Ovis aries: one gene and its partners. The protein of the gene in region 1 interacts with the protein of each later gene in a biochemical or structural test. Links are inferred from orthologs where the notes say so. Each region holds a gene or a part of one and is shown in the gene's direction. Other genes may lie near its edges. The genes, in order: histone H2B type 2-E, RNF20, KAT2A, EP300 and STK4.

Evidence for each region.
Region 2: of the proteins of histone H2B type 2-E (region 1) and RNF20, one has a biochemical effect on the other in vitro, tested with the Homo sapiens proteins (3 studies listed by BioGRID). The link is inferred for Ovis aries from reciprocal best matches to the Homo sapiens genes H2BC21 and RNF20.
Region 3: of the proteins of histone H2B type 2-E (region 1) and KAT2A, one has a biochemical effect on the other in vitro, tested with the Homo sapiens proteins (2 studies listed by BioGRID). The link is inferred for Ovis aries from reciprocal best matches to the Homo sapiens genes H2BC21 and KAT2A.
Region 4: of the proteins of histone H2B type 2-E (region 1) and EP300, one has a biochemical effect on the other in vitro, tested with the Homo sapiens proteins (4 studies listed by BioGRID, with this or other methods). The link is inferred for Ovis aries from reciprocal best matches to the Homo sapiens genes H2BC21 and EP300.
Region 5: of the proteins of histone H2B type 2-E (region 1) and STK4, one has a biochemical effect on the other in vitro, tested with the Homo sapiens proteins (2 studies listed by BioGRID). The link is inferred for Ovis aries from reciprocal best matches to the Homo sapiens genes H2BC21 and STK4.

What each region holds. Positions count from the first base shown.
Region 1 is NC_056054.1:99,991,118-99,997,452, reverse strand, and holds histone H2B type 2-E, read left to right. Parts: upstream 1-2,605; 5' UTR 2,606-2,652; coding exon of another isoform or gene 2,653-3,045; 5' UTR 3,046-3,210; coding exon of another isoform or gene 3,211-3,600; 5' UTR 3,601-3,923; coding exon 3,924-4,304; 3' UTR 4,305-6,217; downstream 6,218-6,335. Other genes in the region: histone H2A type 2-B, read left to right, coding at 2,653-3,045; histone H2A type 2-C, read right to left, coding at 3,211-3,600. UniProt on the Homo sapiens protein: Core component of nucleosome. Nucleosomes wrap and compact DNA into chromatin, limiting DNA accessibility to the cellular machineries which require DNA as a template.
Region 2 is NC_056055.1:21,572,126-21,578,661, reverse strand, and holds the start of RNF20 (E3 ubiquitin-protein ligase BRE1A), read left to right. Parts: upstream 1-2,997; 5' UTR 2,998-3,116; intron 3,117-4,185; exon of another isoform or gene 4,186-4,193; 5' UTR 4,194-4,211; coding exon 4,212-4,340; intron 4,341-6,536. UniProt on the Homo sapiens protein: Component of the RNF20/40 E3 ubiquitin-protein ligase complex that mediates monoubiquitination of 'Lys-120' of histone H2B (H2BK120ub1).
Region 3 is NC_056064.1:41,976,796-41,982,224, reverse strand, and holds the end of KAT2A (histone acetyltransferase KAT2A), read left to right. Parts: intron 1-1,277; coding exon 1,278-1,388; intron 1,389-1,691; coding exon 1,692-1,835; intron 1,836-2,069; coding exon 2,070-2,184; intron 2,185-2,267; coding exon 2,268-2,304; intron 2,305-2,390; coding exon 2,391-2,454; intron 2,455-2,588; coding exon 2,589-2,673; intron 2,674-2,780; coding exon 2,781-2,974; 3' UTR 2,975-3,557; downstream 3,558-5,429. Other genes in the region: ATP-dependent RNA helicase DHX58, read left to right, coding at 4,237-4,404, 4,621-4,822, 5,201-5,391. UniProt on the Homo sapiens protein: Protein lysine acyltransferase that can act as a acetyltransferase, glutaryltransferase, succinyltransferase or malonyltransferase, depending on the context.
Region 4 is NC_056056.1:218,157,655-218,163,412, forward strand, and holds part of EP300 (histone acetyltransferase p300), read left to right. Parts: intron 1-1,601; coding exon 1,602-1,658; intron 1,659-2,251; coding exon 2,252-2,329; intron 2,330-4,194; coding exon 4,195-4,262; intron 4,263-4,886; coding exon 4,887-5,037; intron 5,038-5,157; coding exon 5,158-5,304; intron 5,305-5,758. UniProt on the Homo sapiens protein: Functions as a histone acetyltransferase and regulates transcription via chromatin remodeling. Acetylates all four core histones in nucleosomes. Histone acetylation gives an epigenetic tag for transcriptional activation.
Region 5 is NC_056066.1:73,332,358-73,338,115, forward strand, and holds part of STK4 (serine/threonine-protein kinase 4), read left to right. Parts: intron 1-2,180; coding exon 2,181-2,345; intron 2,346-4,529; coding exon 4,530-4,697; intron 4,698-5,758. UniProt on the Homo sapiens protein: Stress-activated, pro-apoptotic kinase which, following caspase-cleavage, enters the nucleus and induces chromatin condensation followed by internucleosomal DNA fragmentation.

The sequences.
Region 1 (6,335 bases):
TCCAGCCATGTCATCCTCTGTCGTCCCCTTCTCCTCCTGCCCCCAATCCCTCCCAGCATCAGAGTCTTTTCCAATGAGTCAACTCTTTGCATGAGGTGGCCAAAGTACTGGACTTTCAGCTTTAGCATCATTCCTTCCAAAGAACACCCAGGACCGATCTCCTTTAGAATGGACTGGTTGGATCTCCTTGCAGTCCAAGGGACTCTCAAGAGTCTTCTCCAACACCACAGTTCAAAAGCATCAATTCTTTGGCGCTCAGCTTTCTTCACAGTCCAACTCTCACATCCATACATGACCACAGGAAAACCATAGCCTTGACTAGACGGACCTTTGTTGGCAAAGTAATGTCTCTGCTTTTCAATATGCTATCTAGGTTGGTCATAACTTTCCTTCCAAGGAGTAAGCATCTTTTAATTTCATGGCTGCAGTCACCATCTGCAGTGATTTTGGAGCCCAAAAAATTAAAGTCTGACACTGTTTCCACTGTTTCCCCATCTGCTAATAAACATTTTTTTTCATAAACAAATAAAACTATACTCTTAGAGAATTAGCATCTTCTTTTCTAAACTATTTCTCCAGCTTCTTCCCTGTTACAGAGGGAAGAAGCAAGGCTGGGCATAATGACTTCATAAAGCCCGTAATCTCCTTAGTGAAGCAATGGGCTTGGAGGGATGAAGAGCACAGACTTTGAGCGAGACTGACCTTGGTTCTAATCATGTGTTTGTAAGTGGCTGTGTGACCTTCAGCAAGTGCTTAAATTCCTCTGAGCCTTGGTTTCCTTATTTGTGAAACAGTTTCAGTTGGCCTTCGGTATCCACCGGTTCTGAATCTCACGATTCAACCAACTGTGGGTGGAAGATATTTGAAAAAAAAAAAAAAAATCCAGAAAGTTTCAAAAAGCAAAACTAGAATTTTCCCTGCTTTGGCAACTATGTACAGAGTTTTACATTTTATTTACAACTATTTACATGACATTTACATTGTATTAGGTATTAAATCGACCTGCTAAATCGACCCCATAGACGGCAGCCCACCAGGCTCCCTCGTCCCTGGGATTCTCCAGGCCAGAATACTAGAGTGGGTTGCCATTTCCTTCTCCAATGCATGAAAGTGAAAAGTGAAAGTGAAGTCGCTCAGTCGTGTCCGACTCTTCGCGACCCCATGGACTGTAGCATGCCAGGCCTCCCTGTCCATCGCCAGCTCCTGGAGTTTACTCAAACTCATGTCCATTGAGTCGGTGATACCATCCAACCATCTCATCCTCTGCAGTCCCTTTCTCCTCCCGCCTTCAACCTTTCCCAGCATCAGGGTCTTTTCCAATGAGTCAGTTCTTTGCATCAGGCGGCCGAAGTATTAGACTTTCAGCTTCAACATCAGTCCCTCCAATGAATACTCAGGAATATTCATGAATATATGCTGTAAGGTGCAGGAAACTGTAGATGTTAGCTCAGGTACCGGGCAGACTGTTGGAGCAATTCAGGGAAAGAACAAAGAGAAGGGAGCTGGCGGGGGGGGGGGGGGGGGGGGGGGGGGGGGGGGGGGGGGGGGGGGGGTGGGGGGGGGGGGGGGGGGGGGGAGTTGGGGGGGGGTGGTGGTGGTGGCAGGTGACTGGATGAGTTTGCTTTTGGATAGGTCGAGTTATAGGGACAGACAGGTTGAAGTATCCAGTTAACAGGTATACAGGCCTGAGCTTCTGCAGCAAATACTAGATGAAAGCACTGAATTGGGTACGACTTCGGGAAGAGTGAAGAATGAAGTGTGCGGAAAGGGCGAATACGGAGGCAGAGCCGAGCTTAACACTGGGATTTAAACACGGACAGGGGGAAAAGCAGCAGAATGAGGAAAGACGGAGGGCGACATTTTGAATGCCAAGGGAAAGACGCCTTCAAGTTGAAAGCGGTTTGGGACGCCTCCTAGAGGTCAAGAGGAGGATGACATACTATTCTGGGCTTCCCTGGTGGCTCAGACCGTAAGGAATCCACCTGCCTGCAATGCTGGAGACCCCGGATTCGATCTCTGGGTCGGGAAGATCCTCTGAGAAGGAAATGCCCTCGATTAAACCGGAGTCTGAGGAACAGACGGGTGGGGATGGGGCGAAGCCACACCGCAGGCAACAACTAAATTGAAAGAAAAGAAGAGGCCTCAGTAGTTTTGTATTTTTTAAGGTAGTCTGGCTTTGACGAGCCAGAAAAGGAGGAACTTAGTAATTTAAGGTTCCAAGGCCCTTGAGTGGGAGTAACTGCATCTGCTAAAGGCTCTCTGCAGCCCTTTAAAATCCTTTTTGGGAAACCGGAAAAAACCTACCACCCGTAACCTAGGAAAAAATTGCCGCTCAGTAAATAAAGCAAAACAGAAGAGCGTTTTGTTTGAAAGCCTTCACTTTAAAAACCCTGGCATGCAAATAAAGGGCTTTAATATGGCTCACAACGATTGGTAGGTACTTATAGAAGCCGTCATTTCCTCGTAGCCCAAGATGCAAACGAAGAGTCTGCTCTTCGCTTTCCTATTGGCTGTTCGATCGGACTCCGCTTTTAGCCAATCAAACCACTTCCCTTCACCCCTCCCGGTAGCTCTTATAAATTACATCAAATTGGTTACCCTTGCCATATCGTTCTCCTTGAAAAAGAAGCTGTAACTGCAGTTTTAGCAGTAATGTCAGGCCGCGGAAAGCAGGGAGGCAAAGCTCGGGCCAAGGCCAAGTCGCGCTCATCCCGCGCTGGCCTTCAGTTCCCTGTAGGGCGAGTGCACCGCCTGCTGCGCAAAGGGAACTACGCCGAAAGGGTGGGGGCCGGCGCACCGGTGTACTTGGCGGCAGTGCTGGAGTACCTGACCGCGGAAATCCTGGAGCTGGCGGGCAACGCCGCCCGAGACAACAAGAAGACGCGCATCATCCCTCGCCATTTGCAACTGGCCGTGAGAAATGATGAAGAGCTCAACAAGTTACTCGGGGGTGTCACTATTGCCCAGGGCGGTGTCTTACCCAATATCCAGGCAGTCTTATTGCCCAAAAAAACGGAGAGTCACAAGCCTGGCAAGAATAAGTAATTAAGAGGCTTGATACCATCCCCACTCACCCCAAAGGCTCTTTTAAGAGCCACCACCAAAGTGTCAAAATAAAGGGCTGATCACAAAATAGCGCATTAGCTCTTTTTTTGAAAACTTGGGTGGCTCTAAAAAGAGCCTTTGTTCTTTGGTTTACTTTGTAAGGCTTTATTTGCTTTTGGCTTTATGGCTTTCGGTTTTCTTTGGTAATAAAACGGCCTGGATGTTGGGCAAAACGCCGCCTTGCGCGATGGTAACCTTGCCTAACAGCTTGTTCAGCTCTTCGTCGTTGCGGATGGCCAGCTGCAGGTGACGAGGAATGATGCGCGTCTTTTTGTTGTCTCGCGCCGCGTTGCCGGCAAGCTCCAGGATCTCGGCCGTCAGATACTCCAGAACCGCCGCCATGTAGACGGGCGCGCCGGCCCCCACCCGCTCAGCGTAGTTGCCTTTGCGCAGCAGGCGATGCACTCGCCCTACCGGGAACTGCAAGCCTGCACGGGACGAACGCGACTTGGCCTTCGCCCGGGCCTTGCCTCCCTGCTTTCCGCGACCAGACATGACTAAAGATAACAGTAGTACCCTTAAAGATCAAAGCCCCTCGGCAAATGTTTAAGAAAGATCAGCAATTGGAAAGCCTTTATAAGTTTTCTGAGGGGTGGGGTCAGGAACGAGCTTTTCATTGGTCCCAAATTGGCTCCTGAAACAGCCAATAAGGTTAAGAGTCGGTGTTATTCTGTAGCTATTACTGATAACGTAAGGTCTCTCCACGGACCAATGGGAATGTAAGACTTTTGGAGCCTTAATTTGCATACGGTGGTTATAAATGGATCAGGCCCGCCCATTCTCATACCTCTTTTTTTGCCAAACGGCGTTGCTTCACAATGCCTGAGCCGGCAAAATCCGCTCCCGCGCCCAAGAAGGGCTCCAAGAAAGCCGTCACCAAAGCCCAAAAGAAAGACGGCAAGAAGCGCAAGCGCAGCCGCAAGGAGAGCTATTCCATCTACGTGTACAAGGTGCTGAAGCAGGTGCACCCAGACACCGGTATTTCGTCCAAGGCCATGGGCATCATGAACTCATTTGTCAACGACATCTTCGAGCGCATCGCGGGCGAAGCGTCGCGCTTGGCGCATTACAACAAGCGCTCAACCATCACGTCTCGGGAGATCCAGACGGCCGTGCGCCTGCTGCTGCCTGGCGAGCTGGCCAAGCATGCCGTGTCCGAGGGCACCAAGGCGGTCACCAAGTACACCAGCTCCAAGTGAGTCCCTGCTGGGACGCGGCGCTCGCACGAGTCGCAAAGCCGCTTGATTTTCCAAAGGCTCTTTTCAGAGCCACCCACCTAATCACCAGAAAAGAGCCTTGTTCACTTGTTTCTCCTCAGTTCCTCACAAAGTAAGTTACTCTAGTTGGCTAAAAGTAATAGAAGATGACACACGTAGCTTTTTAAGCCCTTATGACTTGAGATTCCTGGCGCGTGACTGGCTTTGCTTTTGAATCTAGGGCGCGTCTTAACCCTCACTGCTGCTTAGCTTTCGTATGAGTCAGTTCTAAATTAGGATACTGAGACTGCTCCTAGACTTGTGTCCTGGTGGCTCTGTTGGGTACGTGTCACCGGTGTTCCAAAACGAAGTGAGTGATTTCAGCTATCCACATTTAAGAAAGGACCCCAGGACACGACCAAGCCCGGGTCTTTCGAACACTGCATCACAGCCCTGAAGAATTGCGAGTTTGGCAGCTGCGTGGGTGCCGGATCACGAATTAGGCCCTTGCGATGTGGCTTCCTGTGGACACCAGCGGTTCGGGATACTTCATACTGAGCCCGCGCTGCCTGGTCTCAGCCTTTCCCTGATTGGACATGAATATTCAAACTCTCCCGCCGCTCCGGAATTCATAGGTTCTGGTTTGCGCCGCTCACTTTGGCGCTGTGAAATTCCTGTTATTTCTTGGTTTGTGGATCATTTTTGCTTTTAATTCTCTTTTCTCGGAATATTTCGGCGTCAAGTCACCGGAAGGCACTAGTCATTTTAGTCTGGTCTCAAACGTCACCTCTCAGACACCTTCGGGAAGTTGTGTCTCTCCTTCCTGCCTCTGGTCCCTCACTATTTTATTTTCTTCCTAGCAGCTGTCAGAAATTGTTTTGCTATTAATAGTTGGTTTTTTTTTTTTTTTCTTGTTTACCATTTTCCTCAAGACCTTAACGGAAACTTTATTGGTTTGGTTTTCCTCTATATCGTCCCCGCCAACCAGTGCTTGGCACACAGTGGACGGTTAAGTACTTACTGAATTAGTATTGAATTCATTTTTCTGTCCCTCTTCTTTTAAAAATAGCCTTCATGGATGGATGGATGGGTGCGGTTCATTTCCGTTAGATGTATGTGAAGACATGAAAATGGAAATGTTTTGGAGCTCCTTTCCCAAGTTGGCTATGGTCACCTCAGGGCAACAGCTGGGAGGAGGGCTGTATTTGTGCGTGTGTGCTAAGGAGGAGGTGGCAGTTTTAAGTCCTTCCTTTATGCTTTTCAGTTTGGTCTAATCTTTTGGATTTTCATTAAATTTAGAACATTGCTCACTGGAAGATCCTTTTCCTTTCTTCATTTATGACACCCTCCTTCCATCCTGATCATTTGTTCCCCATTGAGATGAACTTTTCATTTACATTCACAGTTTCATTTGCTGTTCAGGAGACCCTATAAAATAGACAAGGTTGGGGCTTCCCTGGTGGCTCTGGTAAAGAATCCGCCTGCCAGTGCAGAAGACACAGGTTCGATCCCTGATCCAAGGAATATCCCAGAGAGAGAAAAAAAAGTAGAGAATGTTAATATTTCTTTAAAAATGAGGTTGAGAGTGAGTGGTCCACTGGGCATGCAGCTAACATTGTCCACCTCTGTACCCTCAAATGCAAGGACGGTTGCATTTCAGCTTTATTTCATTGTAATTATGGAATATTGTATTTTTCTGTCCAAGCCTTGATTCTGCTGATAATGGTACTGATGGTCTGATCAGTTATTCAACTCTGCTTTTGGATAAGGGGTCCTGGAGTTGATTGCAGGGGTTTCATGAATCCAAATGGACTCCAGACATTATCAGAGACTGAATAAATCTTAATGTTTCTTACATATGTGTTTTCAAATGTATGTATATGCTATTGTTAATAAATTTACCAGTTAATTTAAAAGCTTGGCTGCATTCTTCTATCTGTAATATGTTTTCTAACTAAATGAAGTAGATAAAATCACTACTGGGTCTAAGCAAATGTATAGAGATGTTTGAGTGCCTCTGACCTGGAAGGTGAA
Region 2 (6,536 bases), on another chromosome or scaffold:
GCCACCAAGGAAGCTTCCCCCACAAAAAAATATTCTTATAGCCCAGCAAACGTTCTGCCATTTAGTAGTGAGGGCCAAACTTATTTTTCCAGGGTTATTCTTTCTTTCTCTTGATTACGATTGTGGGCTGGTAGCTTGTGAACATGTAGTAGATGATCAGAAACTGGAAATGTGGTTAATGAAAGAGGTCTTGGCTATCTTCCCTTTCATCTATTCCATTTTCTCTAGGGTGAAGCCACCTCTTTGAATAAGGACAGGCTATTGGGAAGGTGTCAGATGACTGGAGCTCTTGGGAAAGATAGATCTCACCAATAGCTGGAGAATCTGGTTATCTACATGGTAAGAATTAAAAGGTTCTATAAAGGTCTTCTGTCTTCTCATTCTCCAACATTCAGAATGTCTCCAACATTCTGAAGTGTGGGTGGAATAGGGGTGTCTCGAGTTGACCTGGCACCATTTCCCTGTTAAAAGAATTAGAGGCCCAAAGTGGTGTTACTTGTGCTAAAAGGAAGACTTAATACTTGACCTTATGGCAGTCACAATCCTCTCCAAGAAGGTAATTCTAACTGGTCAGTGTGAATTTTGCTGTCAGCACCAATGAGGTAAACCTTTCCATCCTTGGAAGGAAGATGAAGTAAACTGGCACAAAGATCACTTCATCCACTATGGACAGGCTACCTAAGTTTGAAATAATCTTTGTCTTTGACTTCCTGATCTTACCTTTAAAAATCTCTTTCTATAGCCTTTTGGAGCTCCCCTCTACTTGCTAAACAGGATGCTGCCCAATTCATGAATTACTCAATAAAGCTAATTAGATATTTTAATATTTACTCAGCTGGAGCAACATCCCTGAGATTCTTCTAGTTTTCCCATCTCTGTGTTGATTTCATTATCAAGCCTGGTAACAAGAAAGCTCCAACAGTTTCAGGCCTCACAATAAATTCAGAAGATAAGTAAACTGCTTCAGTCCTATTACTCCAAGCAATTCAGCCCGATTAAACTATCCACTGTTAAGAGTAGAACTTTGGGTTTGGGAATGGGACTTACTATTTGAATTAAGACAATCCTTGAAGAGGGAAGTGAAGTCAGCTTCCTTCAAGACATATGGAATGAAGGGGTCTAACTGGATATAAATAATCATATGAATAAAATCCTGGTTGTGTTCTATTCAGGTGAGAGAGGGGAAGTGGATGCTGAGTAGGCAACCAACAACATTCTCTTAGACCAGGAATTGATTTAGCACAATACAACACACACTGATAACACTCAAATGAAATTCAACTAGTGTCAGGCAATCAGTAACCAACAGTGGGGATCACAGCAGACAGGAATAAAATAACCACTCAGCTCTAGGCCATGTGCCCATGCAAAAATATAAATCTAGTGTTGCCAGACCTTCAACATTTTCAAGAGAAGTTGGTAATCTATCTATCTATATATTTTTTGGCCATGCCATGTGACATATGGGAACTTAGTCCCCTGATTAGGGATCGAACGCCATATAGCCTGCATTGGAAGCATGGAGTCTTAACCACTGGTCCACCAGAGAAGTCCTAAAATATCTTAAAAGGCAGTCAATAATGTCCAAAATAAACAAAGCATACTTGTCGGCCAAGTACAGCCTGTGACTTTCAACTTTACAAACTTTGGGCTAGAATCAGTGCATGCCATTCAGTGGTTCTGTGCATGCAAGATTTGCCAAGAGCAAAGAAGTCAAAGGAAGGAGGTCAGAGAGAGTCATTTCATACAATGCTTTCCCTGACAGGTCCCCAAACATGGTTCTCAGGCTTCTGCTTCACCCAAAGAGTTCATTTGGAGCCAGTTGCCTCTTTACCGCTGGGCAAAGTGTTCTAGTATCAGGAAACATGAACGCTTGTTTCCCACTGTTTACATTCTGACTTTACTGGGTAGTTTTTTATACCTCTGTGAGGCATACAGCTTTTCATCAATAAATTAGTTTGATTACCTTCCTATCATTAAAACACATTGTTTAATTGAGTGGAAAATAGCAGTTTGTTATTAACTAAAAAATCAATGCTTAATTAGCTTAAAATAGACGAGTGTTAAGATCAGAATCAACTTATTGATTTATGTTTATCTATTCCCTGGTCAATTTCTTGTTGAAAAGATACACAAAGATAGTAACTGTCCATCCCGTTTGCACATTAGAATCCAGTGGGGGTGGGGGAGGGTTGGGAAAATTTTTTTTTTTTTATAAAATGTGGATGCCCAGGCCCTACACAAGAGGGACCAAAACTCCCCAAGTGATTTTAATGTGTAGACAGAGCTGTCATACATTTCCCTGAAATAGCCACAACCTTCTAAACTCACCGAATCTCTTGGGTTTTCTCCAGAACTTTTCATTTCAGCAAAAAGGGGCTCACAGTAATTTTTCCGAGGTGTCTGAAACTTAGTCCTTTCCCCTGGAGATTGACGGCGCCATTAGCCAATCGCCAGTCTGAGCAGAACCAATAATAGGTAACAGAACAATAGGCACTGTAAACAAAAGGTACTCAGTTAAAAAAAAAAGGAGGGGGGACGCTTAAGGGCTTCCCTGGTGGCTCAGCTGGTAAAGAATCCGCCTGCAGTGCGGGAGACTCTGGTTCGATGTCCTGGAGAAGGGAACGGCTATCCACTCCAGTATTTTGGCCTGGAGAATTCCATGGACTGTATAGTTCATGGGGTCACAAAGGGTCGAACACGACTGAGCAATTTTCACTATTCACAGTAAAAAAAAAAAAGAAAGAAAGAAAAACAGGTCGCAGTAGCAATGGTTAACAAACGGGAAAAAAATCTGGGACGTTTCCTCTGACGTCAGCGAGGCCTCTACAAAGCGGCCGCCGGGTGCCCAAGAGCTGCTAGACCGCACTTACTTCCGGAAGCGGGGCGCCCTCGATGCGTGTCACTTCCGCCCGGTTGAGTCTTGTCCTTCTCGCTGCCAGATTGAAGCTACTTCCTCCTTTCTTTCCCTTCTTCCTCCCCTTGGCCCCGCCTCCCGGAAGCTTCGCTGGATCTTCACTTGTGGGTTAGGGGTGAGAGGTGGGAGGGCTACGCGGACCTTGGTGAATAACTGCCCCGCGTTCCACTCCCCGGCGGCGCAAGTTGGAAGAACTCAGGTTAGATCTCGGCCAAGGGCGGGACGGGACTCAGCGGGCAACGGGTATCCCCACCCTCTTCCGCTCCAAGGCCTCCCTCTCCCGGGCCTGTAATTGGCCTCTCCGAAGGCTGGGGTCCTTGGCCCCTCTGGAGTCGGATTGAGGCCATTGTCCTCCTCCTCTCTCTCCAGGCGAGGTCCCACTCAGGTTGCTGCCACCGATATCCTTCTCCTGGAGCTTCAGTTGGAAGCGGAGTTGTGTGTCGTCTCGGTGATGGCAGGGCTGATACCTTCAGTAGCAAAGTGCTTTAGCATCTATTCCGCTTCTTTTGAGCTCCGAAACCTTGGGAGGCGAGTAGGGCAGAGACAGTATGTGGTCACTTGCATTGTGCATATCAAAAATTCCTTTCCAAGGCAGCACGGCTCTCTAAGAGTTAGTACTGGGATTCACACGCAGATCTAGCTTCTCTAGGGTGACACAAATTCGTGGGGAGAGCGTTTAGAAATAGGGAAACTGCAAATATAAAAAGGAGAGTTAGCATTGCTGAGTGCATGCTTCGTGTTCGGCCTTATGCTAAAGTCTTTCTGTACTTATTCATTCCTTATGAGGAGCATAGGAAGCATATACTGTTGTTATTTCTGCTTTAGGAAATTGAGGCTCAGAGATGATATATGGCTTGTTCAGTGTTAATAAAGTAGACATCTCCCAGGTCTCTTCCAGCTCTCTGATTCTCCCAACACTGTATAATTAACTGATTTTCTGTATTTCTAAATTAAACTATACTTTCAGATGTTGGCATTTCAGGAAATGAGATGCCTGAAAATTTTCTAAGTTTCTTCATCCTTTGCCTGTTATCTTGTATTTTAGTAGCATCCTATTTAGAACTTTGTAGTTCTGTAAATTCAGCTGCGACTCTTACTTCACAATTTACTTTTCTCTTTCCAAGAGGAACCTGAGGATCAGGTTGCTAAGTGTGAAATTAATGGACCCGGGTTAAAGGATTGACAGGAAAAGTTGCTAGTTTTTACATCATAGATCGACTCTAGTTGCTCTCCTTGCCTATCTTACCTAAGATTTTTTTTCTCTCCAGGAAAACAGTTATCATCTTGTGCCACGATGTCAGGAATTGGAAATAAAAGAGCAGCTGGAGAGCCTGGCACATCTGTGCCTCCAGAGAAGAAGACAGCTGTTGAAGATTCAGGGACCACAGTGGAAACAATTAAACTTGGGGGTGTCTCTTCAACGGTATGTGGAAATAATGCTATGAGAGTGTGCTTTTCTTCTGTCAGTTGCAACCTAGAAGTAATAATTATGGAAGCCTTTTGGAGTAAGGGAAGTTGATTTGAAAAGAAGAGGGAGATAAAACAGCCAAAAGTAGATGAAATGATGTGTTGCTCATTTCTGAAAAAGAAATATAATGACACTTGATCTTTGTTTTTAAAAGTATATTCATATTCTTTGAAGAGTCTGGTGCCAGATTCAGCATTGATTGTAGTTATTTAGCAGTGGGAAGCTATACACTGATTTTTCATTCATTGGGAACTAAGGGGCCAGGTACTAAGAGGCAGTGTAGCAAAATCAATCATTGAGAGAGTGCCTTCTTATTTCCTTGTCTGTAAAATGTAATCATAGTATCTACCTCATTGGGGTTTTGAGAGGAGGAAATGAAAGGGTTCCTGTTAAGGAACGTTACTTTTTAACATGGTAAGTACTCAGTATATGTGCTCTATTAATAGTTTTTATTGGGCCAGATATTGTGTCTATAATGGTGAGTAAAATAGATATCTTCCTTATTGTTATGGAGTTGTCAATTTTTTTAGACAATTATACACCAAAAACTTATAGCAATGTTATATGTCCATTAGACACCATAATAAACTCACTGTAATAGGTAAGGAGTCTGTATTTTGGAACTTAACCATAGGGATATGGTGTAAAAATGCTTTACATTTGTATAGCCTACAAAACCATATCTACTTTTTGAAATTGAGGATCAGAGAGTAATAGGAACATTCAAGAGTAAATTATTGATGAAGCATTGTTTCTGGGTTTGCTGTCTGGGATTCATCAGCCTCCTGTTGCCAGCAGGTGATTTTGTCCTGGCACTGTCTCACATCATGCATCCGAGGGACATTTTTTCATTCAATAAACATAAATATTTGTTGAGCATCTGTTATTTGCCAGACACTGTGCTTTATACTAAGGACAGCTCCTGGACTTCAGTTTGTAGGTTGGCACTGAGAAAAGAACAGACTGTTATGATAGAGTGAAAAATGGGCTCTTCCCAGAGATAACTACATATGTGAAGGGATGCACAAAACACGCATCCCAGTTTGGACTTTATCCAGAAGGCAGTAAGGAGCCACTGGAAGGTTTTAAGCAGGGAAGTAACATGCTCTGACTTAGGTTTTGAAAAAAGATTGTAAGGGAGCTAAGTTTATAAGAAGGAGTTCAGTTAACAAAATTGTTCCCTCATTCCTTGTCTTTCTCCTCCCTCCTATTCTTCCTCTCTAAGGGTGGGGAGCTGGGGCAGGTATCCACTGATCCTGCCCCAGCTGGTTGACAGTTGCCCTTGAAGGCAATAACTTCTCTTCTGCACTTCAAGGTTTCTGTGGTAAACCAGCTGAGATTGTGGAACAAAAAACTTTGAGACTGCATGGTATGCTTCAAGTGGGAACACTGGTGGTGTGACTGGAGCTGTCCACCAGAGCTGTGCTGAAGTCTGGCATAGGATGAAAAAGTGTCTGCTATATGTAGAAGACTGTTGCAATAATCTTGATGAAGGATCACAGTGGCTCAGGCCATTGTGAAGATAGTGTCAACAAGATTTGTTCGTGGATTGGATGAAGGGTATGAAAGAAAGGAGGCAAGATGAGCCCAGGATTTTAGAAGTATGGAGTTTTCACAAGCTGAGCTAGGGAGGTGTATGAAAGGAGCAGATTTGGGGGAGCTGTGGGGGAGCAGTCATAAGTTTGATATTGGACTAAAAGTCTGAAGTATTTATTAGACCTATGAGTGGACAGGTAGTTGGATGAGGTGATCTGCAGCCTGTGGAGAGGTCTCGGCTAAAGCTGAACATTTCTGAAGCATTGTAGGTGGAATTTAAATCCATGAGACTATAGGCTTTCCTGTAAGGGACAAGCATAGATAAAGAAGTCTGAGAACCGGGCCCTGGAGCAGCAACACTTCATGTCAAGGAGATGAGAAGAGGCTGACCAAAGAGGGGCCGCTGAGGTAGGAGGAGAAGAGGGAGGGCGGGATCCCAGAGGCCAAAGGGAGAAAGAGTTTCAAGGAGGAGTTGATCAGGGGCTCCTGATGGGTTGAGAAAGCGGAGGACTGAGACTTTAGATTAGTAATAGAAATTACACTGGAGACTCGACAAGCACCGCATTGGTGGAATGGTGGCAACGGCAGCCTGATTACAGTGAGCTTAAGAGAATG
Region 3 (5,429 bases), on another chromosome or scaffold:
TCCCAGCTTCATCCCACCCCCTGCTTCCGAGTCTGGACCAGGTCAGAGCAGCACAGTAGTGACACAGCTGCCCCCAAGCCTTCTTTTAATGGCCCGACACTTCCTCACATCCCCACAAGGTGGCAGTTGTAATTTGATAACTGAATTAAGAAAACACCTGTCGACACAGGGTGCCCAAGAATCAGTAACACTTGTTTTCCGCTAGTTTTATGGAGATGCAACTGACATGTAGGACTGTGTAAGTTTAGGATGTACAGCCTGACGCTTCGACTTATATACATCATGAAACAACCACAGCGAACATCTATCATCTTATATAGGTACAAAATGAAAGGAGCAGAGAAAAAATGCTTTTTCCTTTGTGATGAGAACTCTGCAGATTTATAGTAACAGTTTTAAAGGGATCTGTGTTTCCTTCATCACAAGAGCATGTACATGCATCGGAGAGTTGATAATTTTTACAACAGTCCCGCTCTGGGTGGTCGTCCTGTCTTCTATCCTGTCACAACAGGCCGACTAGTAGGGTCCCCGGTTTGTCTTATCTGTTTTTTAAAATGGTGTGGCTACTTTATTTTTTATTTTTATTTTTTGGCTGCACTGTGAGGCTTGCCAGGTCTTAGTTCCCCAACTAGAATCAAACCCACACCCTTGGCAGTGAAAGCAAGGTATCCTAACCACTGGACCACCAGAAGATTCCATGATTGTCCCATTTTCCATAACTCAGATCTGCGTGGTGCCTCCGGTCCTAATGTTTGTGGATGACAGGGTGTCTCTTTGGGGTTCAGATGTCATGATGAGGGGGGCCCTTGTGATCCCCTCTCCCCTTTCCTCCAGTTCTGAGGCCCAGGGACTGGGAACCGTGGCCTGTGGACCACAGCTTCCCGGTTGGGTTTAGATCCAGGCTCTCCCTGCCATGGCTGGTCACCTGACCTGGACATATTTCCTGACATAGCTGAGTTTCAGTTTTTTCTTCTGTAAGATGGAGGTAATGATAGCTGTTTCATGGGTTAACTTGAGGATTGCTCTGTAAAGAACCAAGCGTCGCACCTGGCCTGGAGTAAGCGCTTAGAAACCCAGCATCCTTCGCTTTTCTGCCTATAAGCTCCCCTTCCTCTGCCGGTCGCCTTTCCTCCTGCCTGACTCGGATCCCCTGGCTGTCCCCACCTCCTTTCCAGTCGGCTCCGTCCTGTCCCCGCCCTCCTCTCCCCCCCTCCTGAGGCCGCTCTAGCTGTAGGCCCGCCTCCTCCCGCCTGATGAGCTCTGCCCCTCCCCTGCAGGGCTACGGCACTCACCTGATGAACCACCTGAAGGAGTATCACATCAAGCACAGCATCCTCTACTTCCTCACCTACGCCGACGAGTACGCCATCGGCTACTTCAAGAAGCAGGTGACTCTCACCTCTGTCTGCCCACTGACTGGGGCCCGGGGTCATTCTGTCTCGCCCCCGGTGCGGGTGGGCTTCATGTCCCCTGTTCCATCCAGCACCTGTAGGGAAGTCCTTCATGCCTGTCTTCCTCCCTCCTGCTGCTGCCCCAGGGAAGAGGCAGCTGGGAGAGCTGGGAAGTTCTCAGGGTGGGGCGCAGGGGGCGGGGGTGAATCCGGAAGGGCTGCCGGCCTGGAAATGTTCCAGGGACAAATTCAAGCTGGAAGAGCCTTGCTGATGGGTTGGTGGTAACTCTCCACTCCCTAGGGCTTCTCCAAGGACATCAAGGTGCCCAAGAGCCGCTACTTGGGCTACATCAAGGACTACGAGGGTGCGACACTGATGGAGTGTGAGCTGAACCCTCGAATCCCCTACACAGAGCTGTCCCACATCATCAAGAAGCAGAAGGAGGTGCGTATGCTCACGTGCGTGTCTCCATGGGGCTCTCGTGAACATGCGCTTGAGTGAACACGTGTGTGGGTATAGAGATGCGTATATACCTGCTGTGCACACATGAAGTGGGGCTGGCCAGGGTCTTGGTTCTTGCGCTGCCTCGAGGGGCAAGTGGGGGAGCCCTCCCTGCCTGCGGCCGGAGAGTCTGGTTGCTGGAGCTGGGTTGGCCTCTCAGACCCTTCCTTCGCTCAGATCATCAAGAAGCTGATTGAGCGCAAACAGGCCCAGATCCGAAAGGTCTATCCCGGGCTCAGCTGCTTCAAGGAGGGTGTGCGCCAGATCCCTGTGGAGAGCGTCCCTGGCATTCGTGAGCAAGGGTCTTGGCACTGGAGGGGGTGTGCTGCTCGGGGTGTGGATAGGCATTCTTAAGGGTGTTCTCCCATCTTGCAGGAGAGACAGGCTGGAAGCCGCTGGGGAAGGAGAAAGGGTGAGTGTTGTGTGGAGGGAGTGGACAGTGTGGGGCAAGGGCGGCAGAGGGCCCAGGAGCCTCAGACGCGGCCTCTCTCGCTCCAGGAAGGAGTTGAAGGACCCTGACCAGCTCTACACAACCCTCAAAAACCTGCTGGCCCAGATCAAGGTGGGGAGACCAGGCTCTCTTCTGGGGGTCCCTGTGCCAACGGCTGTGGCTTTCTGACCAAGGGTGAGGGGGTGGCAGTCCCGAGTTGGGCAGGGGCACAGTGGATCTGGATCCAGCTTGACTGTCCTCTGCAGTCCCACCCCAGTGCCTGGCCTTTCATGGAGCCCGTGAAGAAGTCGGAGGCCCCAGACTACTACGAGGTCATCCGCTTCCCCATCGGTGAGGACCCTTCCTTCTAACCCCTTCCTCCCACGCCTGCCCCAGCTCCGGCCCTCCATGGCCGGGCAGCCTCTCAAAGGTATGCCCTTTCCTCTCTCGCTGCCCAGACCTGAAGACCATGACAGAGAGGCTGCGCAGCCGCTACTATGTGACCCGGAAGCTCTTCGTGGCCGACCTGCAGCGGGTCATTGCCAACTGCCGCGAGTACAACCCCCCGGACAGCGAGTACTGCCGGTGCGCCAGCGCCCTGGAGAAGTTCTTCTACTTCAAGCTCAAGGAGGGCGGGCTCATTGACAAGTAGTCCAGCCTTGGGCCTCGGCCTCAACGTGGAATGTCTCCTCCTCCAGTTCTGATCTCATCCCTGGGGTGCCCCTGTGCCCAGGTCCCCCTCTGTCTGAGACACTCCAGCCTGGGACCCTCCAGCCCCTGATCCTACAGCCCTTTCTGGGCCCTGAGGCATCCCCAAGGCTGCAGCTCTGTCCCACCTTTCATCATGTCTGAGCTTGGGAATGGGTCTCCCTGCTCTGGGAGCCTCTAAGCATGGCTAGTGGCCAGAGGATAAACGCTACCCCGCCCTGGTCCCCCCCCCCGCCCCGCCCCTCTTCCTGATCTGATCCCCACTCTCCACACACACACTCACACACTCCCCACAAGCGATACAGCTTTGGAATCCTGGGCCTTGCTCAGATCACTGGTTCCTCAAGGGCAGGATCCCCAATTTTAGCTTGAGTAGGGGCATCAGAGCTTGGAAGCCCAAGCTGGACTGAAGGGGCCATGCCTCACCCGGCACTGCTCTGTTTGTCCCCTAGGGGTAGGGGGCATGGGGACCATTCATTTCCTGGCATTAATCCCTCCAAGGGAACAATAAAGTTTTGGTTTTGTTTTGTCTTGTGTGGTGGTTTCCTCAGTAAAATCCCCTGCTGACCCTGTTCCACCAATATCCCCTGCAAGCTGGGGCTGCCCTTCCCAGCAAGCCTCTGGCCCCTCCCGTTCCTGTCCCCCACCCCCCGCGCCCCGCCCCCGCCTTCTCCCTGCTGGCTGCTCCTGGGGGAGGGGCTGAGCAGGACCCAGGCTGCTGTCCCATTGGGTCAGCAGCATTTCTCTTCCCCTCACTGCCCACCCTCACCCTGCACCACCCCCCGGCCCCCGGCCCCCAGAAGCACAGGCTTTGTTTTTCTGAAGGGCCTGGAAGGGAGATTCCTAGATTGATCTCTGCTGGGCTGGCTCCTCCCCTCAGTTTCAGTTTCGATTTCCTTCTCTGCAGAGCCCAGCAGCATTTGGGCTGAGCCGGCAAGGCTGCAGGCGAGACAGACCCTGTCAGCATATCTGGGGCTGGCGTGGTCTGCTCCCACCCAGCTCAGGTTCCCGGTAGGTCCCAATGTTGCCCTGCCCCTTCTCCCTCGAGCGGGGGAGATGTTCCCACCCACCTCCACCCCACGCCCTGCACAAGGAGCTCCCCCAACCAGATGGAGCTGGCCAGGAAGGGGGAGTGGCTCTGACAGGGGCTGGGCCTGGGAGGGAGCCAGGAGGGTCTTTGGGTCTGAGCTCCCTGCCATTTCCAGGATGGAGCTGCGACCCTACCAGTGGGAGGTGATCATGCCCGCCCTGGAGGGGAAGAATATCATCATATGGCTGCCCACAGGCTCTGGGAAGACCAGGGCAGCTGCTTATGTGGCCAAGAGGCATTTAGAGACCGTGGACGGAGCCAAGGTGGTTGTATTGGTCAACAGGGTGAGTGTCCTGCCCTCCCCACACTGTGGCTTCTCAATTCCTCAGGTAGCCTCTCAGGAGCCTCCAGAACTCCAAAGTGGCTGTGACCATCTCTAAGTTTCCCTGTCTCTTCACCCATTCCAGAAGCCAGCTATGTGCTGAGGGGTTCACCTGGCTCCACCCCCATCCCCCAGACCCTCATCTAGCTTCCTCTCCCGTCTCATTCTCCACCTCCAGGTGCACTTGGTGACCCAGCATTATGAGGAGTTCAGCCGCATGCTGGACAGACGCTGGACCATCACAACCCTGAGCGGGGACATGGGGCCACGAGCTGGCTTTGGCCACATGGCCCGGAGGCACGACCTGCTCATCTGCACAGCTGAGCTGCTGCAGAAGGCACTGGCCAGCCTGGAAGAGGAGGAGCATGTGGAACTCAATGGTGAGGGTTGTGGGCAGGGGGAGAGGGTACGCCCGAGGCACCCTGCCTGGGGGACCCCAAGGCTCCTGTTGTAGTAAAGGAACACTTTATAGAATGAGGAATTCCCCATTCACCAAACCCCAGCATACACCCCAGTAGAAACAGATCTGGCTAGAGTGCAGGATTTGGGGCAGGTCCCTTGCCCCAGCTGAGCCTTAGTTTACTAATCTGCAAGATGGAGGTAAATTGTCCCTGCCCGGCCCGTTCTCTGGGGCCCAGGTGCAGGCTGTGAAGGGAGGGAGGGATTCTCAGATGAGCTGTAAGGACTGCGCGAAACAAAGCTTATGGGAAGAAGGGCTGTGCAAACTCAGGTCATAACCTTCCCTTGTGCGCCCCCAGCCTTCTCCCTGCTGGTGGTGGATGAGTGTCACCACACGCACAAAGACACCGTCTACAACATCATCCTGAGCCGATACCTGGAGCTGAAACTCCAGAGGACCCGGCCACTGCCACAGGTGCTGGGTCTCACCGCCTCCCCAGGCACTGGCGGTGCCTCCACGCTCAAGGGGGCCATTGACCACGTCCTGCAGGTCAGCTTGGCCCCTGTGACCCACCCACCCTGCCCTAT
Region 4 (5,758 bases), on another chromosome or scaffold:
TCGGTACTGATTTGGGGGGGGTACAACAGTACTGGATGGTCATAGATTCCTTCTATAAGGAAATACCTTCTCCCAAAAAGTGAAAGTGTGGAGTGCAAGGTAACTTCATCATTAATTGTTTTGAGTTTGAGGAGAATTGAACAAATAACCACCATACAGCCTTCTCATAGAAGTTAACAATACCAAAATCCTTAGACTCATGTGTATCATAGTATCACTAAGGATTTAGGAGGTTGTGAGAATGAATTATTATAAAGAGACTTGGTTGGACTTCTGCAATCCACAAGCTCTTATGGTTCGGTAAATGCCAAGAAAATTTTTTAAACATTGCCTAGACTGCCTCTAATCTCTATAAGATTCAAGCTGTCAATTTTTCATGCTTTTAGGAAGAAAGAACTATTTGGTATCCTTTAAATATTCTTCAGCTTCTCTTCCGATTTAACCTACAATAAACAAACAGTTCAGAACATTTCCCATAGCAATTCAGAATTGTTATGTTACTAGTAAAAACAGGGCTTCTGAGAAAAACTTGGTGTCTTCAAATTGGATTCTGAAGTTGTCCTTTTCCTTCAGTCACCACTGACATATAAAATGGTGGGCTCTGGTACTGGTTCGGGTCCCCTTGAGCCTTGAGATTTTCTAACCCTTGGCTAACCAGGGAAGTCAGGTCTAGGTCGGTTTCCCTGATGCAAAAAAGGGAGGCACCCTTACCACAAGTTCTGTGCCATAGGACAGCAGGTCTCTGACTTTGAAGTGTGTAGGAACCCCTCTTGCAGTTCTGCAGTTGGCAGTGAGCCTGAGAGAGTGCGTTACTGACAAGTTCCCAGGTCCATCCAGGCTGATAGTCTTCCAAACACACTTTCGGATAGCAATACCTTAGGGCACGTAGCAATGAATCTGGAGCCTGTAACTAGGAGAAAACAGTTTCAATGGGGAAATCGCTTCATTTTTATGAGGAAGAATCACAGTAGTCAAAAGTTTGTTGTAGGTGGCCTCCTGTGTTTGTGAGACTATGAACAGAGTAGGAGGCTAGATTTCAGGATAGGAGGCCATGTGAAAATTTTTTAATGAAACCCCCCCCCTTTTTTTTTTTTTACTAATCCTGTCAGTAACCTGAACTATGTATTCTTAATGCTAAAATTTTTTATTAATATAAAAAGTTGCTTGACTGGACTGTCCTAAAAAATGCCTTTTTTTTTTTTTAAATAGTGGTTTAGCTCCCTCTGTACACACTGTCTTTCATACTGCTAGACTGAGCTGTCTAGAAACAGTAAACTAGTCAAAGGCTTAAATACCTAACACTAAGAGTAGTAGGCAAGATTTTAAAAGGAAAAGAAAAAAGTACAAATTCATGCTTTTAGATCTTACTGGGTTCTCCTGTCAGTGGGAACAGAGGTACTATAAAGTCATTTCCCAAAACATAGGCATGTAAACGTGCGTTTTGCGGGAGCTAAGAATGTACCAGCTGTATCCTTGATAGAGTCTTAGATTTAAATAATCTTAACAGGGTGGGGGTTTTTATCATTTGGTTATTAGAACAATAGTCAACTTGCTAATCTTCCTGTGTTGCTTTTTCTTATTGTATCCTCTTCTTTCCTTAGTACAATAAATAAAGAACAATTTTCAAAGAGAAAAAATGATACTCTGGATCCTGAACTGTAAGTAGTTCCCCTTGAGTAGTACACTTTCATTTTCCGTCTTGCTTTCATTCTTTTGGTTTGTGCAGCCAGTGTGGTGATGCTATTATTCTTGGGCTAAGTCTGTAGCCTACATCTAGGAGACAAGGTAGAAATGTTAAAAATCGAGGCTATGGTTTACATTTGCATTTCACTAACCCTCCCTAGTGTTTTGGTGCTCTTGTGAGGTGCCAGGCTGCCTCTGCTCAGTGCCGTTATTCCAGCCTTGTCCTGTGTGTTTTCCAACCGTTTAATAATCGCCTCCTTTATTGTGACACCTTTCAGAGGTACAGAAGTGTACTGGTACTAGACATTCCTGGAATGGACAGGATCGTGTCAGACTTGGAGGTTTAAACAGCAGTCGTCTTTTCTATCACTTTTTACTCCATAAAATGACTGAATTTAACTGCGTTTGAGATTCACTCTACCTGTTACACTAAAGAGCTTTTAAACACTGTTACTTCAGTTCTTTGGACATGATCTTGGCCATCTTTTGAATTGTCAGAAAACGAGAAATACCGGCACTTTTGATTTGGTTCAAGTTTTGGATTTAACTCGACGTTTTGCCTTTGCAGGTTTGTTGAGTGTACAGAGTGTGGGAGAAAGATGCATCAGATCTGTGTCCTTCATCATGAGATCATCTGGCCATCGGGGTGAGGCATCAGTATTTTCCCCAGACTTTAGCAAGTTTTTGTCATCTTTGCAATGACTGTATTTTATTGTCAAAATTACTGCCTCTTAGAATTATTCTCTGGATTGGGAAAAGGTCATTAAAATTCAGTTTTGGAACAGTAATCAACCTGGAATCCAGAACAGGCCTTCTCTTACTACAATGTGTTAGTCCATGTAGAGACACTTCTCTCTGCTGGTTCACTATTTCTAAATTCTTTGGTGGTTATTGTGCATCAAAAGTAAATATAGAGGATTTATCAATAGAGGTAACAGGAAATCTGTAGCACCTAGAAACTAGAAAGGAAATGTTAGACACAACTAAGTGTTAATCACTCGGTCATGTCCAACTCTCTGTGACCCCACGGACTGTAGCCCACTAGGCTCCCGTGTCCATGGGGTTTTCCAGGCAAGGATACTGGAGTGGGTTGCCATTTCCTTCTCCAGAATATCTTCCCAACCCAGGGATAGCACACGGCTCTCCCACATTGCAGGCAGACTCTACTGACCGAGCCACAGGAAAGCCCTGAAAGTGTTAGTTGTGTCAACTAAACTTGACAGATGTTGAGTGTTGCTAATATCCCAGAGGACAGACTAGATGATACCAGTAATGGAGAGCACCAAAACGACGACTTTGTTTCTGCCTCTGAGAGAACATTACAGTGAGATTGTATACTGAATAGTGGCCCTGGTTAGACTTGAATTATTTAAAGTCTTTTGGGCAGTTGGATAACAGGTAACATGGGTGTTCCCCACTGAAAGGCAGAGATACGTGAAAATGATGAGATACAGACTTCAGTGAACTAGATACGCTTGGGCCTCATGTTTTGTTTCTTGAGTATTCTCCACATATCTACCCAGGCTGCATATCATCAGTGCCTTTCACGGAAATAAGTGGATTTTTGTCCATTGTGACACTGCCAAGTGTTTACTGCCATGGCTACCTCTCTCCAGGAATGAGGCTGCTCCCAGCTCTGTTCAAGGGAAAGGTTGGGGAGGGGATGTCTGTGCATTAAGTGACTCTCATCAAGATGGGAGCTCTACTCTCTCCTCTGCTTTTTTCCTGGACTAACTTGATGCTAGTTTAGAGTTCGTGGGGGAAAAGGAGGCTAAATAACAAAATTTCCAGAAAAAAAAAAACACTAAGGAAAATTGTAGTAGGTAAGCTTGTCTTTTGATAGGTTTCTCTCTCTCTTTTTTTTTTTTTTTTTGCTTTTTTATTTTTTTAATTTTCAAACCTTTAATTCTTACATGTGTTCCCAAACATGAACCCCCCCTCCCACCTCCCTCCCATAACATCTCTGTGGGTCATCCCCATGCACCAGCCCCAAGCATAGGTTTCTCTTCTTAATTACAGAGTAGGCAAGGATCATGAGACTTGCAGTGATCCTTGCAACTGAAGGTCAGCCAGCTGGTTGATGAGTACTTATGTGTTGTCCAGTTTTTCTCAAAATTCTACTTATGCACACATCCTTATGTAATTTCAGGAACAAAGAGAATGTACATATAAAATCTATTCATGCTGCTTTCAAAATGTCCCTTTTTATAGTCCCACTGGTAACATATACACTTCTGCTAATGTGATTGACTAAAAAATAAAATCTCTGCTTTAATCTGTGATTCTTCATCTTTGCACATGTAAACTAGTTTATATTCTCTTTGTATCTTTTACCTATTTATCTTTTTTCTCTTAATGTTTTCTGAAAGCTCTTTGTATATTGGTTGTATTTCTCCCAGGTTGTTTTTTTGTTTATTTTCAACCTTACGCATACATAAGATAGATTCTGTAGAGTGCGTTATTTGAAATGCTCCTTTAAGTTGTTAAACAAAGTCTCGGTTTACATTTTAGATTTGTCTGTGATGGTTGTTTAAAGAAGACTGCACGAACTAGAAAAGAAAATAAATTTTCTGCTAAAAGTAAGTTCCTTTCTTACAGGTAAATTATGGGAAAACTTTGCTTGAAACATCATTAAAAATTAACATCCAGAAAGAATTATTTTGTTTCAACATTATTTAAAATATTTAACCAAACTAAACAACAAATAATTTTTCCATGATGTACTTGAAGTTCTACTGTAGTATCCTTTTTGGTGTGAAGTTACTTATACCTAATAATGTGTAAAAAAGCGCAGATGTATTTTTCTTATTCCAACACATTTCCTGACAGAGGCCAGCATTGCCATCCCGTGAGTGATTCCCTCAGTTTTGTGGAGGGGCTGCATTTAGCCCTATGTGATCTTTTCACTTGGTGGGTGGCAGTAGTTTTAGTTCTGGAGATAGATGCCTGTGCAGTTTTTTGCTGTTCTGTGTTGTTGTTTAGTCGCTAAGTTGAGTCCATCTCTTTGCGACCCCTTGGGCTGCAGCATGCCAGGCTCCCCTGTACTCCACTATCTCCAGAGTCTGCTCACATTGATGGCCATTGAGTCAGTGATAATCTTGCTAGTGTTGAAAAAGCAGAAGTGAGATACGGTATTGAAATTTGACTGGTAGTAATAAATGTGCACCTTGGCTACTCCTGAACTTGTCACTTGTAAATCCTAGGACTGCCATCTACCAGGCTTGGGACATTTCTGGAGAATCGTGTGAATGAGTTTCTGAGGCGACAGAATCACCCTGAGTCAGGAGAGGTCACTGTTCGAGTAGTTCATGCTTCTGACAAAACTGTGGAAGTCAAACCAGGCATGAAAGCAAGGTATGTAGTAATTTCCCCCTTTCTTATCTGTGGATCCACAGTTGCTCACACATAGTTACTGTTGATGATTCTAATCTGAATGAAATGTTGTACTTCTTCCCTCCACTATGAATTGTATAGATTTGTAGATAGTGGAGAGATGGCAGAATCCTTTCCATATCGAACCAAAGCCCTCTTTGCCTTCGAAGAAATCGATGGTGTTGACTTGTGCTTCTTTGGTATGCACGTTCAGGAGTATGGCTCTGACTGCCCTCCACCCAACCAGAGGTAGGACTTTACTGTGGCTACTTTCTAATTTGTGTGGAAGTTTGAAATTACAGTCAGGTGAACAAGCGTAATGGATAAGAAAATGTTTGATGTGCTTTTTTTGGAAATGTAAGTTCTCAAGTGTGTAGTATAGAAGTGAAACCAAAAAAAAAAAAGAAAATACTGCTCTTTCATGTTCATAATAACAGGGAAAGAGATATGAATGGCAGCCTAAAATATGACTTTTCAGAAAATGTACTTAAATCTAGGCTGAGTACCTTCTTGAGATGTAAAAGAATGTCACACAAATGAAGTAGAGTATGGTGTAGAATTTTCCACGTAGTATAAAGGCCAGAATAAGAGTCTGTCAGAATGTATTTGGATCGCTCAGTAGTGACTAATTATGCTGTGTCTCAGGCCCTGCTAGGTGCTGAGATAGTAATAGAGCCACAGACCCACAAAACTCCCCTGATGA
Region 5 (5,758 bases), on another chromosome or scaffold:
TCTCCAGTCGCAGCAAGGGGGGGCTACTTTCTAGTTGCAGTGCACGAGCGTCTCTTTGCGGTAGCTTTTCTTGTTGCGGAGCACGGGCTCTAAGGCGCAGGGGCTGTGGTGGTTTCGGCTCTCATGCTCTAGAGCACAGGCTCAGTAGTTGTGGAGGGTGGACTTGGTTGCCCCATGGCATGTGGGATCTTCTGGATCAGGAATTGATCCTGTGTCTCGTGCATTGGCGGGCAGATTTTCCACCACTGAGCCACCAGGAAAGCTCAGCAATGAATTCTGAGTGTTTAGAGTTGGTTGGGTTTTCTCCTTCTACCCAAGTGTTCACAGGTTAACTTCCACTAAATCCTCCTCATCAGATTCCTCTCTGTGAAAGATAGTTTGCTGTTACTGTGATGGCTGGGAGAAAAGCTAGGAGTCATGATTTCTAGTTGCGGTTCAGTTGCGTAAACTCTTTGTTTATTCATTAGGTAAGTATTTCTAGAACACTGATCTAGGCCTTTGGGATCCAGTAGTCAGTAGAACAATGTCCCTGCTCTTGTAGAAGTGCATTTTCTAGTTATTAAACCCCATGGATGCTTCCATGCCTTAATGTATCGTTTGATTTTTGTGACACTCTTGAAAAAAGGTGATTTGCCTATTTTTCTAGATTGAGAAACTGAGATTCAGAGACATTACTAGATAACTTGCTTAAGTCATAATGCAGAAGTAGAGCCAAGGCTAAAGACTAGATCTTTCTAAACCCAAATCACGTATTTTTTGCACCACTGCTTATTCTCTTCTAAATGTGACTTGTTTGTCATGAGGGGGACTGATTCAGAGTCTGTTGATTGAGTTTGTTTAGAACTGGGCTAGGATCAGCACAGAGTTAGCATTGGACTGATCAGGTGTTCTGTGTCAGTCTCCTGCATTTTTGCTTACATTTATTCATCATCATTTAACAGATATTTTTTTCAGGACCTGCTATGTGCCAGGAGACTCTCTTGGTGGTGGAATTCAGTAGTAACCTAATCAAAGGCATTTTAAAATGGAGTTCACGTGTGCAATAGGGAAGATGTCACATGAATAAGTATACAGAGTATGTATAGTATGTGAGATGGTGATAATGTTGCATTAAGCTATAAGTAGGATAAGGGGATAGAGAATGATCTAGGAGTGGAAGGAGCTAGCGAAAGCCTCTCTGTTCCTAATGAGGTAATGTTTGAGCAGAGACAGTGACATAAGGAACCATCTCATCCAGAAATCTGGTTAAAGGGCACTGCAAGCAGAGAGAACAGATAAATGGGCCCCAGAAGTGGGAGTGTGTTTAGAGTTTTTGAGGAACAGCAGGGAAGCCTACATGGCTGAAACAGGATGAAGAGGTAGAAAGTGGTAGAAGATGAAGGTAGCTGGGAGCCAGATAAGGTGAGGCCTTCGTGAGAACTGGCTCTCATTCTGAGTGACTTAGGAAGGATTTTGAGCAGATATTTAGCAGAATCTCAGTTGCAACATGTGTGATCTAGTTCCCTGACCAGGGATCGAACCCAGGCTCCCTGTGTTGGGAGAGCAGAGTCTTATGGACTGAACCACCAGGGAAGTCCCTGACTTACATTTTAAAAGGTTCGTTATGGCTGCTGTGTGGAATATACATTATATAAGGTTAAGGGCAGAAGCAGCCAGACAAGTTAGGAGATTATTAGAACAATTCAGGCGAGGCATGTTGGTGGCTTGAATCAGGGTGAACCCAGAGGATATAATTGCATATAGTTTGAAGATAGAGAAGAGTCAAGGATGACTTCAAGATTTTTGACCGGAACAGCTAGAAGAATTAAATGGCCTTTTACTGAGAGAGAGAAGACCGTGGGAAGAATAGAGTAGGTGGGTGGTATGGAAAGGGGTAGGGTGGTGGTAAAAATAAAGAATTTGATTTTGCCATGTTGTGCTTATGATGCTTGTTAGGTATTCAGCTGGAGGTGTGGTGTGGGAAGATACATAAATCTGATATTTGGGGAGAGATCTGGCTTGGAAATATAACTTTGGGAGTGGTCAGCATAGCAATGGTACTATAAGCTGTCAAATGCTATTTTACACATTGAATGAGATCTTATTTATATTCTAGGAGAAGAGTTTGGATCGAAATTTTTTTCTCCTTTTTCAAATGTGCTGATGTAAACTAATAGTATTTTAATTTCTCATATTTTCAGTTAACAGAAGATGAAATAGCTACAATATTACAGTCAACACTTAAGGGACTGGAGTATCTTCATTTTATGAGAAAAATACACCGAGATATCAAAGCAGGAAATATTTTGCTCAATACAGAAGGTCACGCAAAACTTGCAGATTTTGGGGTAGCAGGTCAACTTACAGTAAGTGAAAGTGTTACTTGCGTTGGTAACTTTCAGGTCTTTCTTGAGAACTGTTCTTTTTATTTATTTATTTTAAAATGTAATATTTAATATAATTGTGTTTAAAAAAATTAAAGAATGTGCCAATAGGTTACAAATGAGCTGGTAGGTTATTTTCGATCCTTTCCTGGGGCTCAGGTCCCATAGTTTAACTCTGTTTAGCTTGAAAAAAATAAAAGCTAAAACAAGAAATGATAGAGTAGACGTTTAAATTCTTTTGGTCTACGTCATCGTATTTACAAAAGGAATAAAAATTAAATCTAATCGGCTTTCCTTGGATAAGACATAACGTCATCTCATTCAGCCTCTAGGTAGCAGTTGGCAGCTGCTTTACTGAGAGCGTTCTCCTCATTTGGTTCCAAAACACAGGCTCTTGATTTTCCTCCTACCTCAGTAGTGCATGGCAATGAAAAACATTATGCTTTCAAAACAGGAAGGCTAAAATTATCTGATTTTGTAAAATATATGAGATGTGTGAAATATGTGTAGAAAACAGAGTTCTAGATAGATGTATACAAAAATTTGCAGCAATGTCATATATCAGGTTTCTTGGGTGATAGAAAGCTACGTCCATATATAGTTTGTTTAGAGCTTTATCATGTAGGTTTTTTATTTTTAAAAAATTTAAATGGAAAACAATTAAACATTGCTTCGATGTTATTAAAAAAAAACCAACAACCTCAGGAACTTATTCCATATCATGATTTGTGGGCCCTTCAAAAGATTTTGTTGTTAACACATAAGTAAACAATACCAAACAGTATTATCTAAATTACAATCTTTATTGAAAAGAAAAATTCTTCTGGTGCTGTGTAAAAGATATTATAAATTTAAAATATCAGTTGTTTTTTAGTAATTGACGGTTTTCACAGAAATAGAAAATAACAGTCTTGAAATTCATATGGAGCTAGAAAAGGCCCCATATATCCAAACCAGTCCTGAGAAAGAAGAACAAAGCTGGAGGCTTCATACTTCCTGATTTCAAACTATGTTACAAAGCTAAAGTGATCAACACAGTATAGTATTGGCATAAAAATACACACACAGACCAATGGAATGGAATCAGGAACCCAGAAATAAACCCATGCTTATCCAGTCAGTTAATATTTGACAAGGGAGCTAAGAGTGCTCCATGAGGAAAAGACAGTCTCTAATAAATGTTCTTGGGAAAATCTGATACTCACATGCAGAAGAGTAAAACTCGACCTGTTTCTTACACCACTCACAAAAATTAACTCAAAATGGATTAAAATAAATGTAAGGTCTGAAACCCGAAAACTCCTAGAAGAAAACATAGGGGAAAAGCTCCTTGACATTGGTCTTGGCAATGATTTTTTGGATATGATACTAAACGCACAAGCAATAAAAACAAGAATAAACAGTGGGACTTCATTTAAATTTTGGTTGGGATTGAATTGAATTGTGTTGAGGTTGTGTTGAATCATAAATCAATTTGAAAAATACTCCCATCTTCATGATGTCATGTTTTAAAAGTCCTTTTCTGCTCCAACCTTATATAACTATTCATCTGTACTTTCCTTGAGTGCTTTTTGGATTTTGGTCTTTACATTTAAAATTTTAACCTATTTGAACTTATTTTGCTGAAAGTATAAGTTAGGAATTCAAGTGTATAGTTTTACAAATAAATAGACAGATGCCCCTTTTCCAGCCTTTCTATTATTATTATTTTTACAATACTTGTGCATCTATCTTGGGATACTTATACATAGGATACATTTCTAGAAATAGATTTCAATCAAAGGATATGGACATTTAAAGTTAGTAAATATTGCTGAATTGCCTACTAAAACATTGTACCAACTTGTGTTCCTTTATCATTGTATTTTGATACCTGATTTTTTCTATGCTATTATCCATATGAGTTGTTAGTAATCTTTTTAATTTTTGTCAGTCTCATTTTGGTGTTTCATTAACTGGTTGATAGTTATTTCTGTGTTTTAATAATTGATTGAGAATCTTTTATGTTTCAATGTCATTTGAATTTGTTTTGTGACTGACTGACTTGCTCATGTTTGAGTACGGTTTGTGTATGTATTTCAAGCCCATGACAATCACTATTGTTAGAAGGGACTCTTTCTCAACAGTTTCAGTGGTTAATGTTGATCTCTCTCCTTTCTGTTTCAGGATACCATGGCCAAGCGAAATACAGTGATAGGAACACCTTTTTGGATGGCTCCAGAAGTGATCCAGGAAATTGGGTACAACTGTGTAGCAGACATCTGGTCATTGGGAATAACAGCCATAGAAATGGCTGAAGGAAAGCCTCCATATGCTGATATCCATCCAATGAGGGTAAGGAAATGGACAGAAAACCAGTGGGATGGTCAGTTACTGGTGATAATGAGAAACTGAGTTAAATGAGTTTCTTGGTTAGGTACCAAACAGTAAATGAATTAATTGTAAATAATTGATAAGTGTCAGTGTAGACTTCAGATGATATACTTCCACTAGTTGTAATCACTAATTAAGTCAAGTGTAATCCACCCCTGTTCATTCTAGAAGCTGTGTATTGATATCTCTCTGGCAGGACTTGATTGGTTTGACTTGTGCAGTGTATGTTTTTAGTAATTCGAGCACTCACATATTAAAAAATTTTAATTTATTTTTAAATTTTTGACCGTGTTCCACAGCATGTGGAATATTAGTTCCCTAACAAGGGAATGAACCCACACCCCCTGCGCTGGAAGCACAGAGTCTAATTCACTGGACCACCAGGAAAGTCCCCGAGTGCTCACGTTTTAACATAACAACATTAATTGGAGCTGCGAAACAGTCCTCTCCTTTATACAGGGCATGCGCTTTGCGTGCCCTCCGCGGCTCCCTGTTCGCCCGTATCAGTCATAATGTATTGCCGTGTTTTCTCTGTTTTTCTTATACTAGCCTTAAGAGGAAAGCAGAGTATTTTCAACTCATATCACTAACACTCAGCCTGATTCATTTGTTGTCTTCTTCCTGCCTGGCCTGGGTAGGGATTTGCATGTGTGATTTCTAGAGGCTCTGTGCTCCCTGACCTCCATCCAGTTCTGGAGTGTGAAAAGCCCACACGTGTCTCCATTGACACTCCTTCAGTGTTTCTGCATTAAGCATTTTCCTGACTTTCCCCACCCCCAGAACACCTCATCACAGCACTGTTGCAAGACCTTGACCCCTGCCTTCCTCAGAGGCTCCAGAGTCTTTTCCATACCACCCAACTCAGCCCCTCCTCTTCTCTTATTAAGCAGTCCTTCTGTTAATAGACTTAACAGTTTTGTTTGTTTTTTTTTAAGCTATGCACATGCCCAAAGGTAAGCACCTCTCTTTTTTGAGGGACAGAAATGGAGAAGGATGGGAAGATTTACTGGCTTTATTTTTAG